Caenorhabditis elegans: one gene and its partner. The protein of the gene in region 1 purifies or fractionates together with the protein of each later gene. This does not show direct contact. Each region holds a gene or a part of one and is shown on either strand. Other genes may lie near its edges.

Region 1 (8,265 bases):
TTTCAGAGGTTTTAAGTTTGGAAGTTGCTTTCAAACTCGTTTAAATACGAGTATAAAGGCAAAATTTTGAATTTCAAACTGTTTTTCAGAAATTTGTCCGAGTGGCTCAGTGCGATTTTCGACGGCTACCACTCACAAGACCAGGGTTCGAGTCCCCATAGTGGCATATATTTTTATTAGAGTGTATATGACTAATTCAAGAGCGCTGAGTGTAAAAAACAATGTTTCCCAAGCTGAAAAGTGTAAAAATGTCGGAAAACTACGAATTTTCTCATTCTTGTAGGAAATCAACTGAAACTTCAGATTTGCACAGATTTTATAACATTAAATCATCAAAAAATCACTCAAAGGTAACATTTTATTACAGACTTTTCATTACTGGGCACTTTTCAAAAATGCTGTACAAATGGCGCAGTGGGATTTTCGACGAAAAAGCTTCCAGTCAAAGGACCGTGGTTCGAGTCTCCACTGTGGCAAACTTTTTTCCATAGTGTTGTTAGGCTAAACTTTCAATTCTCAACCCAAAAATTATAATATCAATTCCTAAACAGCAGAGAAAAACCTTGAAAAATAAGAATTTGAGAATAATCAGCGGAATATCGGCTGAAAATGTAGATTTTCTCAGTTTTTAAAGCCTTAAATCGTCAAGAACTCAATAAAATTCAAATTTACCCGAAATTATGTCATTTCTGGGAAATTGTCAAAAATGTCCAAATGGAGCAGTGGGATTTTCGACGAAAAAGCTTCCAGTCAAAAGGCCATGGTTCGAGTCCCCGTAATGGCAACATTTTTTTCACAATGCTGATCTCTCAAAGCTTGAAATAAATAATTTATTCTCACTAATAATGTGAATTTCAGGGGAAAAATTGTATGTCGTGTCTGTTGTCAAAAAATTTGAGCCAAAGTTCGAAAAAAAAAGTATGGGCTCAGAGAGCTCTGAAGGGGAAAAATCACATAAAAAGGGCGAAAGGAAGGCACATTTTGGGGCGAGAAACGGGGGAAATAAAAGTGAAAATTGTGCGCAAAAAAGTGAAGAGAAAGCCGACAAATTTGATTAAAAATTAGGAGAAAAAGGGGAAAATAAATAAATTAAGCGGTTTTGGTTGTGTGTGTGTGTGGTTTTAGCGAGAATATAAATAATATAATTATGTATAAAAATGGTCACATTTTGTGGTTTTTTTTTCTGAAAAAATCGAGGAAAAATGGCTGAAAAGAGTTTTTCAGTCCTCTCCACTGTCCGAATCATTTGCGTCGTGCTGTTTCGGATGATAACTGCCGTCGGAGCTTCCGTTCATTTTCATCGGGCGCTGAATTCCACCTGTAGCGGCTGCGGTGGCGGCCGACATCTCACTGGCGTTCGGTGTTCCTTGTTGTGACGGTCCTCGTGACAGTGTGTTTCGTTGGTTGGCAGGTTTTACTGGAAAATATTGGGATTTTTTGAATTTTCAAAAAAAAAATAAATTTGAAATTTTTTTTTCGAAAAAAAATTTCTGAAAATTTTGTTTTTTATAATTACTACAGAATTTAAAATCAGCTCGCTGAGAGCTTCCAAACAAGTATAATCATGACTAGGCTATGTTTATTTTGAACATTTTCCGAAATTTTGGGTCCCGCCACGAAAACTGGGTTACTGTAGGTTGGGATTTTAGTGGGGGACCCAGTTTTCGCGATTTCATTTAGATTTTTCGATTTCAGCTTACCGAGCTTTCAAATAAGTATAATTATGACTAGGTTGGCGGACATTTAAAATTTTCCAAAATGTTGGGTCCCACCGCGAAAGCCAATTTCGTGGTCGTGCCCCAAAATTGAAATTTTAGATTTTTGTTAAATAATTCAACTTCCGCTCGCCTAGAGCTTTAAAATAAACATAATCAAGACTAGGTTATGCGAAATTTTAAATTTTCGGACCCCACCACGAAAACTGGGTTACTGTAGGCAGCGATTTTCGTGGTGATACCCAATTTTCGCTATTTCAATTAGATTTTTCGATTTCATCTTACCAAGAGCTTCAAAACTAGTATAATAATGACTAGGTTTGGCGAAAATCTAATTTTTTCCAAAATTTTGGGTCTCATCGCGAAAATCAGTTTCGTGGTCGGGCCCAAAAATTGAAACTTCTCAAATTTTTTAGTAAATTCGTTTTCAGCTCATCAAGGGCTTTCAAATAAGTATAAACACGACAAGATTGCGTCACATGCGAAAATTTTGGGTCCCATCGCGAAAATGGGTTACTGTAGTTTATCATTTTCTTGGCGAGACCCGAATTTTCCAAGTTTGACAGAATATAGCCATGATTATACGCATTTGAAAGCTCTCGGTGTGCTGAATTCAAATTTTCTAATGAAATTTTTTAAAAAGTGGGTTCTCGCAATTTTCGCGGTGAGACCCAATTTTTTTCAAAATAATCTTAACCTAGTCATGATTATACTTATTTCAAAGCTCTCGGCGTGCTGAATTCAAATTTCCGGATTATATACCAGTAATAATCAAGTTATGAGCATTGGCGACCATCATATCAGTGACCTGATCCAGCGTCTTTCCGAGAACCTCAATTCCATTCACCTCGAGCACCTGAAAACCGGAATTTTTAGATTAAAAACTCTGAAAATTCCATTAAAAACCTCGTCATTAACACCAAGAAGGCCTGTGGACTCGGCGAGCCCACCATCGACAAGCCGGGAAATGAAAATTCCTGAAACTTTGACGACGCCTCGTTCTGTCACTCGAACCGATGTTCCGTCACTGAAAAAAGAATTGCAGATTTTTGGGATTTTCTGGCAAGAAATCTGAAATTTCCAGAAAAATCGATACCGAATATAGAATCCAAGTGGTCGTTCTTGTCCGTGCTTGCAGAGACGGACACGGCGATGAGCTTCTGGCACAATGTCCACGTCGATGATTGCAGAGACCTGCAAAATTGAAAATTTTTAAAAATTAATGGGAAATTTGAATTCAGCTCGTTAAGGGCTTCAAAATAAGTATAATCATGACTAGGTTTTGCCAATTTTGAAAATTCTCCTAAAATTTGGGTCCCGCCACGAAAAGTGACGAAATTTTAGAAAATTACTGCGAAATCTGAATTCAGCTCACTGGGAGCTTTCAAACAAGTATAATGGAATGACTAGGTTCCGCGAACTTTGAAAATTGTTGGTCTCGCCACGAAAATGGGATTACTGTATGTTGGCATTTTCGTGGTGGTGGGATCCAATTTTTGAGATTTTTATCAATATTTTTGAATTGGGAGCACTGTCAGCTTTAAAACTAGTATAATCATGGGTTCCGTTAACTTTGAAATATGCGGGTCCCACCGCGAAATTGGGGTTACTGTAGGTTGGCACTTTCGTGGCGGGACCAGATTTTTGCAATTTCATGAGTTCAACCGAATTCAGCTCACCGAGAGCTTTCAAATAAGTATAATCATGACTGGGCTCCGGAAAATTTGAAGATTTCCAAAATTTTGGGTCCCGCAGCGAAAATTTCCTTCGTGGTGGGACCAAAAATTGAAATTTTCAAAATTTTTTCCGGAATTTGAATTCAACTCATCAATAGCTTTCAAATAAGTATAATCATGACTAGGTTCTGCGAAATTTGAAATTTTTGGGTCCCATCACGAAACGGGATTACTGTGGTTTCGATTTTTCGTGGCGAGACCCAACTTTTTTCAAATCCATCGTAACCCGGTCATGATTATACTTATTTCGAAGCTCTCAGCGAGCTGAATTCAAAAATTCCACTTTTTTCGCTGTGAGACCCATTACCTGTCGAAAATCTTCGGGATTCGAGATTGAATAACTGCGTTTCGGTGGTTTTTGTGCCATAAGTGATGAAATTCCCTTCCATCGTTTATCAGAGTCTGTACCATAACCATATTTCTCTTCCCATGATTCACCGCGGCGTTGAATGAGCAAACGGAGCAGTGGGCGAGCCGATTCGAACGATTTTCGGAGGTTCTGCAAAAAAAATAATGGTAGTTTTGGGATTTTATCGATTTTTGGGATTTTTCTAGGAATTTATCGATTCTTTTTGTGATTTTTATTGATTTTTTGGGGATTTTTTACCGAATTTTTGTGATTTTTCAACAGATTTTTATCGATTTTTTATCGATTTTTTCCGATTTCTTGGGGTTTTGTATTGATTTTTTAAAGCGATTTTTGAGTTTTTTTGTAATTTTTTATCGATTCTTTTTGTGATTTTTATTGATTTTTTGGGGATTTTTCACCGAATTTTTGTGATTTTTGTTTCAATTTTTTGAGACTTTTTTCGATTTTTTTAAATCAATTTTTTGTAGTTTAGGACTTTTTATCGATTTTTTAAGATGTTTAGTGATTTTTTAGCGAAATTTTGTGATTTTTATCGATAAGTGATGTTTTAGTAATTTTCAGCATTTTTTAGTGAAAAATATCAATTTTAGGTCATTTTTACTCGATTTTTCTCGATTTTTTCACCGAAAAAATCAATTTTCTTCAGTTTTCCCTACTAACATTCAGATTTTTATAGACTTTTTATCGATTTTTATCGATTTTTTTTTGAGATTTTTATCGATTTTTTGAGTTTTTAAATCAATTTTTAATTGATTTTTTGTGATTTTTTTCGACTTTTCTGTGAGTTTTCAAATCGATCGATTTTTTGTCCTCGTAGGAGACACCCGAATATTAAATCGATTTTTTTATTATTATTATTTTTATTTTTTAACGATTTTTGAGCTGTTTTAAAAATCGATTTTGACTAACTTTAAGCTGAAAAAATCAATTTTCGAGACATTTTAATTGAATTTTTAGCATTTTTTAGTGAAAAATATCAATTTTATGTCATTTTTACTCGATTTTTTCGTTTTTTTTTTCACTGAAAAAATCAATTTTCTTCAGTTTTCCGCTACTAACATCGTCATTTGTGATTGGTAGAAGATCACCGCCAGTCGAGTTGTAGCACAGTGTGAATTGGACACTTTCCAGGTGATGAAGCTTCTCGACAAGGCTGAAAATATCGATTTTTACTTGAAAAATTGAACTTTTACGGGAAAATTGCTTCAAAAATCGAGTTTTCAGGTAAAATATCATTTTCCGCTCGTTTTTGGTAAAAAAAAACACAAAAAAAAAGACGAATTTTTCGATTTTCCGGCTGAAAATGGCGAAAATTCGATTTACGCATGATTTTAGCCCTAAAAATGCCGATTTTGGCCAAGTTTGGTTTGGAAAATAGATTTTTTAGGGTTTTCAAGGTAAAAATCGGAAAAAATCTGATTTTTTCAAGTAAAAAAAATCATTTTCCGCGTATTTTAGGACAAAAAACGCCGAATCCTTGGATTTTTCAGCTGAAAATCGTTGAAAATCCGATTTTCTGAATTTTAAGGGATTTTATGCCTAAAAATGACAATTTCAGTAACTTTTGGGTAGAGAAATCAATTTTTAACGTTTTTCTACGTCAAAAACATGGGTTTTGACGTATTTTAGGTAAAAAAAAAACGCTGAATTTTTCGATTTTTCGGCTAAAAATGGCCAAAAATCACCTCCGGAACCCATCGTAAGAGACACCAGACGCAGAATGCATTGGTATTGAGAAACGACGCCATTCAGAATCAAATTTCGATTTGACTTGAAGTGTTGAATGATGATTTTGATGGTAGGAGCCGTTGTAGGACATCTGAAAATTTGGATTTTTCGGGTTTTTTGAGCTGAAAAACGCGATTTTTAACAGTTTTCAGCTGGAAAATTGGAAATTCCGGCTTTTTTTGAGTAGAAAAATCGCATTTTTCGACGTTTTCCATACTTTTAAGCTGAAAAATTATGATTTTCGCAAATTAAAACTCACAATTACAAGTTACAGGTGCAGCTCCGCGTTGAGCCGGAAATAATGCACAATTTTCGTGGGAAATATCGATTTTTTCGGCTGAAAATTGGATTTTTTCACATTTTTGAACCTTTTTTAAGTGAAAAAATTATTAAGTGAATAATTTTTGAATTTATTAATCAAAAATCGGATTTTAAATAATTATTCAATGGAAAAAATTGAATTTTAATTTAAAAGTTAGAGTTTTGAACAGTTTTCAACGGAAAAAAAAACTGAATTTGAGTTGGAAAATAGACATTTTTAGGAAATTTGAGTAGAAAAATTGAATAAAAATTCCAAAAAATGGCAATTTTGAACATTTTTCTAGCGGAAAATGAAATTTCAAGCTAAAAATCGCATTTTTTGCGATTTTTACAAAAAAAACCTTCAAAACACCAAATTTCCGCTGAAAATTGAGTAAAAATGAGTCACAAAACTCTCCAAAAAAGTTTGATAAAAACTGATGACTCATCGCCAAAAATTTTCAATAAAAAATCGATAAAAAAGCTGATAAAAACAGCGAAAAATTCAAAAAAAAAGGTTAAAACTAAAACAAATCTTTACGCAAAAAAATGGAAAAAATTGAAACGAAAAACCGTGAAAATCAACAAAAACTGGGGGGCAAAAAAATGGATAAATTACGGGATTTTTCGCCGAAAAAATGGCGAAAAATCACAGAAAAATGCAATAAATTGAGGGGAAATCCTATTCTTCATCGTCTTCTTCTTCTTCTTCGGAATCCATTTCAAGACCTTCGAGTTCCTGGAAAAAATGGGTTTTTTTGAGTGGAAATTTGAGATTTTTTGGGGTTTTTTAGGCTAAAAAATGGGATTTTTGGAGGTTTTTTATGTTGAAAATCGGAAAATTTGATCATTTTAGGCAGTAAAATCGAATTTTCATCTTGAAATTAATCAATTTTATGAGAAAAACTCGAAATTTCGAACAATTTTTGGAATAAAATTGCAATTTTTCGCGTTTTCAAGTAGCTTTTCACTGAAAAATGTGGGAATTTTGGCGTTTTTTCCATAGAAAATCGGAATTTTAGTGAGAAAATTTCAATTTTTTGATAGAAAATATGAAGTTTATCACAAAAAATTCACTTTTAAAGTGGAAAATCGTGAATTTTCAGCCAAAAATGCCAAATTTTGTAAATTTTGAAGCTTTTTCTTCGGAAAAATCCAGATTTTTTGCATTTTTTTTAGCTCAAAAACAGAGTTTTCCATGGAAAAATAAATTTTGAGTAAAAAATGTCTAATTTTTCAGTGAAAAAATGGGGATTTTAGCGAATTTTTACATTTTTCCAGGTTTTAAAAGGGAACGTTTCAAAAAAGAAAAAAAAATTTTCGGATTTTCACCGAAAAAAACTCGAAAATCGACAATTTCCAATGAATTTGCATGTTTTTCATGCAATTTTTTAATAGAAAATCGTAAATTTTCAGTAAAAAATCGATTTTTCAGTGGTTTTTTCCAGAAACCTCATTATCAAAGAGGCTCTCATCAATTTCGACTTCATCTTGTGCTCCAATAAGTGTGACGTCAGAGAGATTGAGTGTAGCGTCACGAAGGAATAGTTGACGTCCTGGAAAATATTGGTTTTTTTTGAAATTTTCAGCGATTTTCAGACGGAAAATCACATTTTTTGTGAGATTTGGAGCCAGAAAATGGGATTTAAATGAATTTTTCGCCTGAAAAAGTTCAAAATTTCGATAATTTTGGCGTAGAAAATCGCAAGAATCGGGATTTTTATGATTTTTTCCACTAAAAAGACGGAAAATAGCATTTTTTCGGGATATTGCGAGTTTTTTTGTGAATTTTTCTGAAAAAATGGGGATTTTCCGATAATTTTAACTGCAATTTTCTTCAATTTTCCAATTTTCCGGTTAAAAATCTCTGGTTTTTTACGTTTTTTCGGTTGAAAATTGCACTTTTTAACCATTTTCATGCGTAAAATAGCCTTTTTCTTTGATTTTTAACTGAAAATCTCGAATTTTTTGCATGAAAACCGCCAATTTTTACGTTTTTCCAGGCGGCAACTTGCAATTTTTGGGGTTTTCCGCCCTAAAATCCTCATTTTTCCGCCATTTTCCATGTTAAAAATCGCGATTTTTACAGGTTTTCACTGAAAAATCGCAATTTTCAACGTTTTTCATGGAAAAACTGCGATTTTCTTCAATTTTCCGGCTCTAAAATGCTCAATTTCACAGCTTTTCACCTGTTAATCGTCCAGCCAACGATGCCAATCGTTCTTTTTCAGCTGCATCAATTTCAGCTTTCCGTTCCTCATCAAATCTGTCCTTCCAGGCTCGGAATGTGTCCGGTGTCACTACAGTACCTGGAAAATTTGGAGATTTTTGGCCATTTTATAACATTTTCTTGAGTTTTTGAGACATTTGTTCAGATTTTTCAAGGCTTTTAGGACATTTTTCAAAAAATTCGAGC
Region 2 (8,856 bases), on another chromosome or scaffold:
ATTAGTGTTATCACAAGTTACCGTTACAAAGGGGCGTGGTTTGGAAATGACGTCATCTGATGTGAAACTGATGGCGTTAGTCGACTAATATCTTATCTTATCAGACAAAACCTTTGCAATTGTCACGTAAGCAAGGCATTTTTGTAGTTTACAGTAATATCGGGACTTCCCGTTCTTGAAGTTTTGAAAATTGGAGATCGATCTGGAAGGGAGTTATGTACAGGCATCTAGTAATTTTGAAGAGGCAACTATTGACAATCTTTAAAGTTTTATTTTTAAAAATTAGATTTGATAGGTATTAAAGAAACACTCTCCTAGAAATTATAGATTCTTCAATTTTTCCAAACGTACAAAAAATACGAATTTTTCCATTTTCTCTAATCGCCTGCAATAGTGTAGCATGTTTCAAAAATTAAAAATCGTTTAAAATTAGTTTTTCATACGCAACGTATATATTGACAAAAAAGGCAAAGACCGAGGGCAAATAAATAACATAATAAAGTTTAAAAAAAACCACCATTTCAAACAAAATTAATATATATCAACAGGAAAACGATTTTTAAAAAAAATGCATCTATGACTTGTGCGTACTGCTCCAACCGCGAAAGTTCAAATTCACCGTACTTCGCTGTAGTTCGGAGGATTTGATGAGGAATGCCACGTCACCATCACGTGATAAACAACTCGAGTTTAGTGCCATTACGTCGATTGGCTGAAAAATTCTAGTTTAGAACGGAGAAAAGCAAAATTAGACATTGTGCAGGAAACTTAACCACTTCTCAGCGCCACCTATGCGTTGACCTTTCAGAATTTTCAGAAGGCAACACGTGCACACTTGGCGCGTGCTAGCGGCTGGCTTAAAAAACAACCAAAAACAAAAAAGAAATCCGTCGAACCGGATTCGAACCAGTGACCTAAGGATACCTGCTGACTCTACAGTCCTCCGCTCTACCAACTGAGCTATCGACGGCACGGAGGTGGACGGAAAAATGTGTCAATAAAAATGTTTGTTGCTTGAAAGACTTTCAATGCGTCTAAGTGGCAGATACGTAGTTACAATCGTATAAAACGGTTCCTGGCGGGACCTTTCTGTCTTTACTCACGTCTATAAACTTCCTCGACTCAAATGAAGAAGCTTTTTGAACAGAATGAACCCGTAGACTTCCATCGTTTGCTACCAAAACCACAAATGATTCGAAATTGTTGGAATCTGAATCTCAATTCATATTAAATGTTTTTTTTTCAAATTCAGGAAATCTCACTCTTTTTATTCAATATCCTAGCCACCATTCCATTTTTGATCTTCAGCCCTTCCAGCGCAGTGATCTTATAACTGTCGCGTTTCACCATCGGCTGACAATTATAGATTCGCAGCTGCTCCTCGGTGATGACGACGATTCGAGTGGATGCGGAGAACTGAAATAACCAAATAAATTGAGTATGAATAATTTCACGGAGTTAACTGGGGATACGCTAATGCCGCGGAGTCGCGCACCGGGAAATTTGAAAAAAAAACACATGGGAGACACGAAAAATTCTAGAATTTTGACTACATTCGCATAAACTAAAAACTGGCAATTTTGCAACTCTTTTTCATTCACACTCCAAATCTCAACTTACATATCCTTCCTCATTTGTGATATCTAGATTAACAACCGGTTGCTTGTGAGGAATCGAGAGTTTCTTAATCTGTTCCGCTTTGAACGTCATTCTTAGTCCAACATCATGTTCGCTGATTGCGTAAAAGTAGACAGAGCCTTCGTGGAGCCCCACAGCTATAATGTCATCTACATTTTTGTCGTCGAGCACCGGAAAGCGCATCATTCGGAGACATGTTACGGTTCCTTTGGAATCTGGAAATATTGAAATTTCAGGGTGAGATAGGAATTGCTTTTGATTTTTATTCAGAAGATTTGAAGATTTTGAAAAGCATGTGACCACGTTTAAGGCTTTTCACCTAATCTATGAGCACTTCAAAAAACCCCGTTTCAGATTTCCACTTACTCTCAGCATAGCAATCCAGCACTCCCAGCTCTTCCCTTGCTTCAATTGGTCTCTCCATGAACACCTCTTCCTCTTCAAAATCGTCAATTCGCTTTGGACTTGTCTCATGCTGCACATGATTTGAAGATGAAGCCACTGCACCTCCTGAATCCATTAATGTTTCAGTGCCCTTCTTTTTTCGTCGGAACGTCTTTCGAAGTGACTTCTTGAGACTTTTGAATCGTTGGAATTGGTTGGCACTGACATTACTTGAATCATCTGAAATGAGCGTAGACTTCGAAGATGCTTTATGTTAAAGGCGGCCGAGCTTCATGGTTTTGAAAACTGGTGGTTTCGATAATTGCTAATTTTCAAAATTGTTAGCAATTTCCAATCATCCCGGGGTCAGACTCCCCAATCTACAAACTTTGTTCTTTCCAAATTATCTGAAAACTCACTGTTGTCATCATTGAATGAATTCGCATAGACAAGATATCCAAAGTTTACATCAAGCATCACAATTCCAAAGTTACTTCCAACTGCCAAGCAGTGATACTTGTGAAGATAGACAATATCGGTGATTCGGTGGCTGGGATGCATTGAGAACACCAACGGTAGATCACTCTCGTTTTTAAGCCGTATTTGATAACCCGCATTGTACTTTAATTCTGCTTTCCTAGGCTTTAGCGCTCGTTTTCTCGTGTCTGGCGGAGAATTATTGCAGCTGATCGGTGTGGCCTCCCAATGTGTGAGAGTTCTCGCAGAATCCCAAAGTTCATACATTAGTACATAGCCACCTCGATTCGTTCCAATCACAATTCCAGATTTCGGATCAAAGTGCACACGGGTGATACACATTTCTTCGTCGTCATCAAACGGATCATAGAGGCCAATTTTGCGCACTGGTTTTTCAGGTTTCTCGTCGCTATTGTAGTAATTTGAATCTTCGTTCTAAAAGTTTACACACAATATTCACTGTTTCCTAAAATAGTTACTTACATCAAAACTAGATGCGCCGTCAAACTCCAATGAAGTGCGGATAACTAGCATCAAGGACATTCCAACTCCACCGGAAGACCATATACAAATATTTCCATTTGAATGACCACTCAAATAAACTTGTCGGTAAGAAGCTCGTTGATGGTTCGCGTCGGTGACTATCTTCTTTTGAAAGTTCAACGGCCAGTCTCTGGTTGACATCTGGTTAGTCTCCCAATAGGATTTGCTGGCCTGAAGAAAACATAATAAATGACTAAAATAACTATAAAAATTTAACAAGGATGCAAAATGTTTTTCAAGTCAAAAAGGTTTGCGCAACGTAAAAATTGTCGAATTTCAAGTTCAGAATTTTCTACAGTAGCAGCAGGTAGTTTTTCATTGTTGTATAGAAGTTTTTTTGTGGAGACATACTGAACAATATTATCACTTTCTGAATATTACTTTAGTCTTAATTGAAAGTTTTGAGAAGGTGCTCAAAAACTGACTCAAAAAGCCAATTTGCCGGTTGGCACAGTTACGCGGCACACTGCGACTCCTAGGCAGTTTTCGAACATTTTCTACATACGTGCATTTGAAGTTAAATTTTTTTAGAAAGTATAAATATTTCTCTATGTTTCTATATAAACTTGCAAATAAAAAATTTAGCACTACCATGACGAATTTTAGCACTACTATGAGAAATTACCCTTTCCAAAAGTTAAAAAAGAAAAACAAAACCTAACCGATTCCAGACGATTCCATACATTTTCCTCAATTTCAATAGCTCTCGAGTGGGTAGTTGGCGTACTATTATTAAAAAGGATTAAAGGATTAAAGGACGATCCGTTCTTCAAGTGCTATGCACTGCGGATCTGGGATTCAGGTACACTGCCTGGTGGTGATCCCTCTGGGCTGTAATTTAAGTCACGTCCTAGCCGGGGACTGTGGCCGATAATCCAGTCGTGGATTGCTCCACTTCCCAATAGAGGCTGGGTGAACCTAGGGGGTGAGGCCGGACTTGAACTCGTGACCTCCAGACTGCTAGCGGCCACCACTACCGACTGAGCTATCTGCCCTACTATGAGAAATTACCCTTTCCAAAAGTTAAAAAAGAAAAACAAAACCTAACCGATTCAAGACGATTCCATACATTTTCCTCAATTTCAATAGCTCTCGAGTGGGTAGTTGGCGTACTATTATTAATCGAAAGAAAATGTTTCGGCTGCATCATATTCAACGACTCCCTTTCCAAATCGATTCCAATGATCTCGCATTTTGTGCATATTAATACCACTCCACTTTTCTTGCAATCTTCTGGAACATATTCAAAATTAGGAAAAAAATAGTTCGAATAATTTTCAGTACCGTAACTACCACTGACACCAACAATCCCTACAATTTCCGATGAGAGCTCCAGTTTTTCAACAAAGTCGCCATGGCTAATTGTGATCAGATCTCTATCGTCGTACTTTCCAGAACTTTTGCCTCCTTGGTAGATGAGGAAGTTCTCGTTAGGATCCCTGAAATGAGGCAAATAATTATAGTAAATCCAAGCAGAGAAACTCCGAGAAGGCGATTTGTATGAAATTGACTTTATGAAAATGAGTTTTTATTTTTATTTTTGAAACAAAACCTTTATTTTGAAAACTTTAAACGAAAACTTACGACGCATCAGCACAAACAGAGAAATGTCGAATTTGATGGCAAGGATAGGGTCCAAATTGATTCGCACTGTAGACATTCACTTCTTGAGCACTTATCTGACAGTCTTTTCCAACTGTAAACTCCCATTTTGTGTATTTATTATTGCAAGAAATGCCAAAAGCTACATTTTTCTTCTTCTCGCTACTCCAGTGAAGTTTCTGTAGAGAACACATTTAAAAAAAGAAAAAAAAAGTTTCAACACACCTGTATAGCTTCATCCTCATAGTTCCGTAGACTGGTCTTCATGACAAACTGTGATTCGTTAAATACGCCAACACAACCGTTTTCCGCAATGAGCATCAAAATTGATGGCTTTTCCGGTAAGCAGGTTATACTGGCGAGCTCTGTGTCGTCAGGCAGCCATTTTTCAAAATCTTCAGCTTTGACGAGAACTTCTGATTTGAGGGTTTTGGATTTGATTCGGTATATTGTGTTATTCATGGCTGTAAAAATTGAAACTTTTTGGACTTACAAGCTATCAAAACCATAAATGCTTTCTGTTTTGCTCACGTCATAATGAAGCTTGATTGAAAATAAATTCCTGTTACGGTAAACCTAGTTTCCAGTTTTTCAATATTTTTTCACACTTATTTCGGAGTCAATTTGATAAAGTTGAAAAGAAAGTTTGGTTTGACTGAAATGCCATATTGCTGTAAATCTTACCATTTTCAATTTTTAATTGTTTTTTTTTCTCTGGGAAGACTTTTACGCTTTAGTTTGAAAATTAATTTGCACAACTATATCAACATCGTGCAATTTTTTTGAAACTAAGTTTCAATGAAAAACTTACAAAAAACTAGGGCAAATGTGTCATCTGATAACTTTTGGACATGCGTTATATCCCATTTTGATTTGTGATTTTCGTTAAATCGCAGTTCCTCCTTTTTTGTTATTACACCATCTGAAAAATATAATTTTTAAAATCTTTTAATTGAATTTACAGCCGATATTTTGCCGAAATTGTTCGGCGAAATTTTGAAAACATGTCGTTTGGTAAGTTTCAGAATTTGCCAGGCTTAACAAATTTGGATAAATGTGACTTAAAAATTTTTTTTTGTAGGACTACTACTACTGACTGAATGCTTGGAACACGTTAGATTTTTTATTAGGTTCTTTCTTTTCTATTAGTAAGTAACTTCATCTACAAATTTTTTAATATGAAATCAAATTTTTTTTTGTAAATTTGTAGCATGTGCGGCAAATTTTAAGAACTGCCATACATTCCTATTTTAGTATAATTTTAAAACGAAATAACCTTTGATATGAATTGGGATAATCAGCTGTCCATCACAAAGAACCAATGCAATGTTTGAGGATATGAAGAAAATGTGCTCGATTCTCGCTTTATTCTCACTGTCCTTGCTCAAGCTAACTGTCCATGAAGCTCCTCGGTAGCCGTAAAATGTGACTTCTCCGTTTTTAGATCCAATTACAACACATCCGTTGTGGTAGTCAAATGCTACGACGTCAGAAGTGAATCCACCGCGGTTTCCCTAAAATAAATAATTTTGAACTGATGAGCGGGGAATAAATTAGAAAATATTTCGAATTTGGCAATTATTGTTCAGTTGAAATTTGACAAGTTTTCGTTCCCAGTATAACTTTTTTAAAAATTTTTCTGATTATGTGCTATTCTACAGCATTCTTAAAATAAATTTTCTGGATGACCTAATGCAAATTAAAAGAACATTTAAACGTTTCAAAATATTTCAAATACATGTTCAACCAAAATCTAAACACATACCTCATCGAAAACCGCATATTGTTCTATGGCATGCTCCTCGGGTTCGTGATAAAACTTGGACCGGATAAATCGTAAGATGCTGCTCATATTAACCCAAATTCGAGGTGTCTAAACCGAAAAAAGTCACATAGAACCGTATAAGTGAACACGGAAAAAGGAAAGGAATAGACCCAAAGCGAGAGAGTAGGACGGGGAGAAGAGAAAGAGAGAAGCGAGAAAAGATCAGGTGAACTGAAGAGACGCCGAGTCGGAACGCACCCCTTGTTGTTTGCGCACAATTGTGGTGGGGTTGAGAGGGAAAAGAGAGGTGGGGGTGACTCAGTCATTTGAATGAATGTTGCTAAATGAACCGCACCAGTGACCGCTGGGTGGTCGATAGGTAATAGGGTGCCCTAGCAGGTGTTGCGAAATGCGCGAAGGGTGTAAACGTGTTGGACACGAACAGATTGCAAGTAATTCAAGGTTATCGTACCTATTGACCCAGATAGCTGCTGCTGCTACTGCACTGACCAAACTTAGAATTAACCAAACCTAATGTACATGGCAAATTAACAAGCAAACATAACTTTTGTTTACTTTTGAAGCGTTTTTAAGTTATACACAATGACTCAATTAAATTGAACTTGCCTGCTAAACATAAAGGCAAGGTCCTGATATTTGGGAAATAAGTGGCAAAATTAGAAAAAAAATTGAAGTGAACAAAATATAAAAACTGGGATCAATATTTATAGAAAAAAAACAGTTAATGAAAAACAATGAATATTTTAACTCCTGGGGAATGCGGAAATTAAAAAATGGGCGGCAGAAGGATTTTATGAGCTATAAAACATTTTTGGGGATCTCAGTGGTAGGAGAATTTATTATTATCATGAATATTCAATAGATATTACAGTGTCATTTTATTAGCAGGAGCGGAATTTGTATTTTCTCATAAACATCACCATATAATTTCTGACTTTGCTAAAAAAAATAGCACGCACTGACCCAAATAATTTTGGCACTGGCATAGATAAGTTTGGCACTGACCAAATGAACCTTCGCACTAATCAAATAATGATCGACACTGGTTTATACATGTAATTTTAATTAGGCGGTATTTACTGACCAATCATGAATTTGCCTAAAAAAAAGTTCGCAATTTAGGGCTTTCACGTAGGTGACGAAACGCCTGCAGCGCCCGTTTCACAACAACCGCATGCCTCGCGCCGCGAGCCGTGCTTCCTGTGTAGTGTGGCGCGGAACCCAAGAAGTGTCGGCCGCGGCGGAAGAACCACCGTTCGCACTAAGTGGAATGAGCATCAAGCCTTTGACTTCATGTAATTATGCAGAAATGAGGCAAAAGCTTGGCAGGTTGGAGGCCTGAAACCGCGCCTGCCTTCCATGGAACCGCACTTATGACGGAATGTTCGGCAAAAACTGAAACATGCACGGATCGGAGTGAATAACTGGAACCAACTTTCAGATTACCTTTTTGTTCATAAATGTCTCGTTTTCCAATTTCTTACTTTTCTCAACAATTCCTTCTTACAAGATGATGACTTTAGAAAGACTGAAAACGAATCTGCGACTAGTCAAACAGAAATAATTGATAACGATAGTGATTTTGTAATCATTCCCGCTTGATAAACTGTGCATTTTTCACTTTTTGGCAAAAGTATAGGTGTATATCATTCTTAAACTTTTTTATTTAGGAATGTTGCGGAATTTATTGCTTTTACTACTACCTTTACTGATTGAAGCAAAATTACCTCCATTTTTCTTGGGAAGACTAAATGGGAAAACATTGTTGAAGTAAGTAGATTTTTTGATGAAAATTTAATTTAATCTCTTTTTTGAATTCTAGTCACCATTTGGACCGGTTAACAGCGTCTGATGGGGCAAGCATTCAAGAGACTTACCCAAATTTGCAAGTTCATAATTTCACCCAGAAGCTGGATCATTTTGATCCATACAACACGAAAACATGGAATCAGGTAATTAATTCAAAGAATAGTTTTTTCAAACTGCCTTAATTTACAGAAATATTTTTACAATCCAGTATTCTCTAGAAACAACTCAATCATTTTCTTAATGATTGGAGGAGAAGGCCCAGAGAATGGAAAATGGGCAGCAAACCCAAATGTTCAGTACCTACAATGGGCTAAAGAGTTCGGAGCCGATGTTTTTGATTTGGAGCACAGATTCTTTGGAGACAGTTGGCCAATTCCGTATGTGCAGCATTTTTTTAACGAGAAGTTTTTAAGTTCAGTCTCTGAATAAAAATGAGTATGTAAGGTTTGGAAAATTGCCTAAAATCTTTCGCGCAACTTGTTAATTAAAGTGTGTTTATTTCACAAAAAAATAGCATTTATTTCTCAAAAAAATAGCAGATATGTGAAGTAAGTATCAGGGAAATGGAATATTTTTCTACATTTAAAAAATTAAAGAACAATTGTGCTCTTTTTCAG

The links. The genes of interacting proteins can lie anywhere in the genome.
Region 2: the proteins of par-6 (region 1) and lgl-1 purify together in Caenorhabditis elegans (affinity purification with western blotting; 3 studies listed by BioGRID, with this or other methods). This does not show direct contact.

Annotation. Positions count from the first base shown.
Region 1 is NC_003279.8:12,667,001-12,675,265, reverse strand, and holds par-6 (Partitioning defective protein 6), read right to left. Parts: upstream 5,887-8,265; 5' UTR 5,809-5,886; intron 5,641-5,808; coding exon 5,507-5,640; intron 4,975-5,506; coding exon 4,881-4,974; intron 3,951-4,880; coding exon 3,759-3,950; intron 3,012-3,758; exon of another isoform or gene 2,946-3,011; intron 2,910-2,945; coding exon 2,812-2,909; intron 2,743-2,811; coding exon 2,622-2,742; intron 2,572-2,621; coding exon 2,478-2,571; intron 1,418-2,477; coding exon 1,221-1,417; 3' UTR 819-1,220; downstream 1-818. Other genes in the region: T26E3.4 (RWD domain-containing protein), read right to left, coding at 6,532-6,588, 7,302-7,405, 8,039-8,158. UniProt on the Caenorhabditis elegans protein: Necessary for apicobasal and anterior-posterior asymmetries associated with cell adhesion and gastrulation during the first few cell cycles of embryogenesis. Required for localizing/ maintaining par-3 at the cell periphery.
Region 2 is NC_003284.9:864,503-873,358, forward strand, and holds the start of lgl-1 (Lethal giant larvae homologue 2 domain-containing protein), read right to left. Parts: upstream 6,588-8,856; 5' UTR 6,497-6,587; coding exon 6,410-6,496; intron 6,159-6,409; coding exon 5,921-6,158; intron 5,567-5,920; coding exon 5,456-5,566; intron 5,109-5,455; coding exon 4,870-5,108; intron 4,824-4,869; coding exon 4,627-4,823; intron 4,482-4,626; coding exon 4,327-4,481; intron 4,276-4,326; coding exon 4,091-4,275; intron 3,214-4,090; coding exon 2,983-3,213; intron 2,935-2,982; coding exon 2,442-2,934; intron 2,263-2,441; coding exon 2,005-2,262; intron 1,854-2,004; coding exon 1,621-1,853; intron 1,417-1,620; coding exon 1,263-1,416; intron 1,211-1,262; coding exon 1,104-1,210; intron 979-1,103; exon of another isoform or gene 855-978; intron 713-854; coding exon 575-712; 3' UTR 1-574. Other genes in the region: Putative serine protease F56F10.1, read left to right, coding at 8,103-8,200, 8,253-8,382, 8,429-8,616.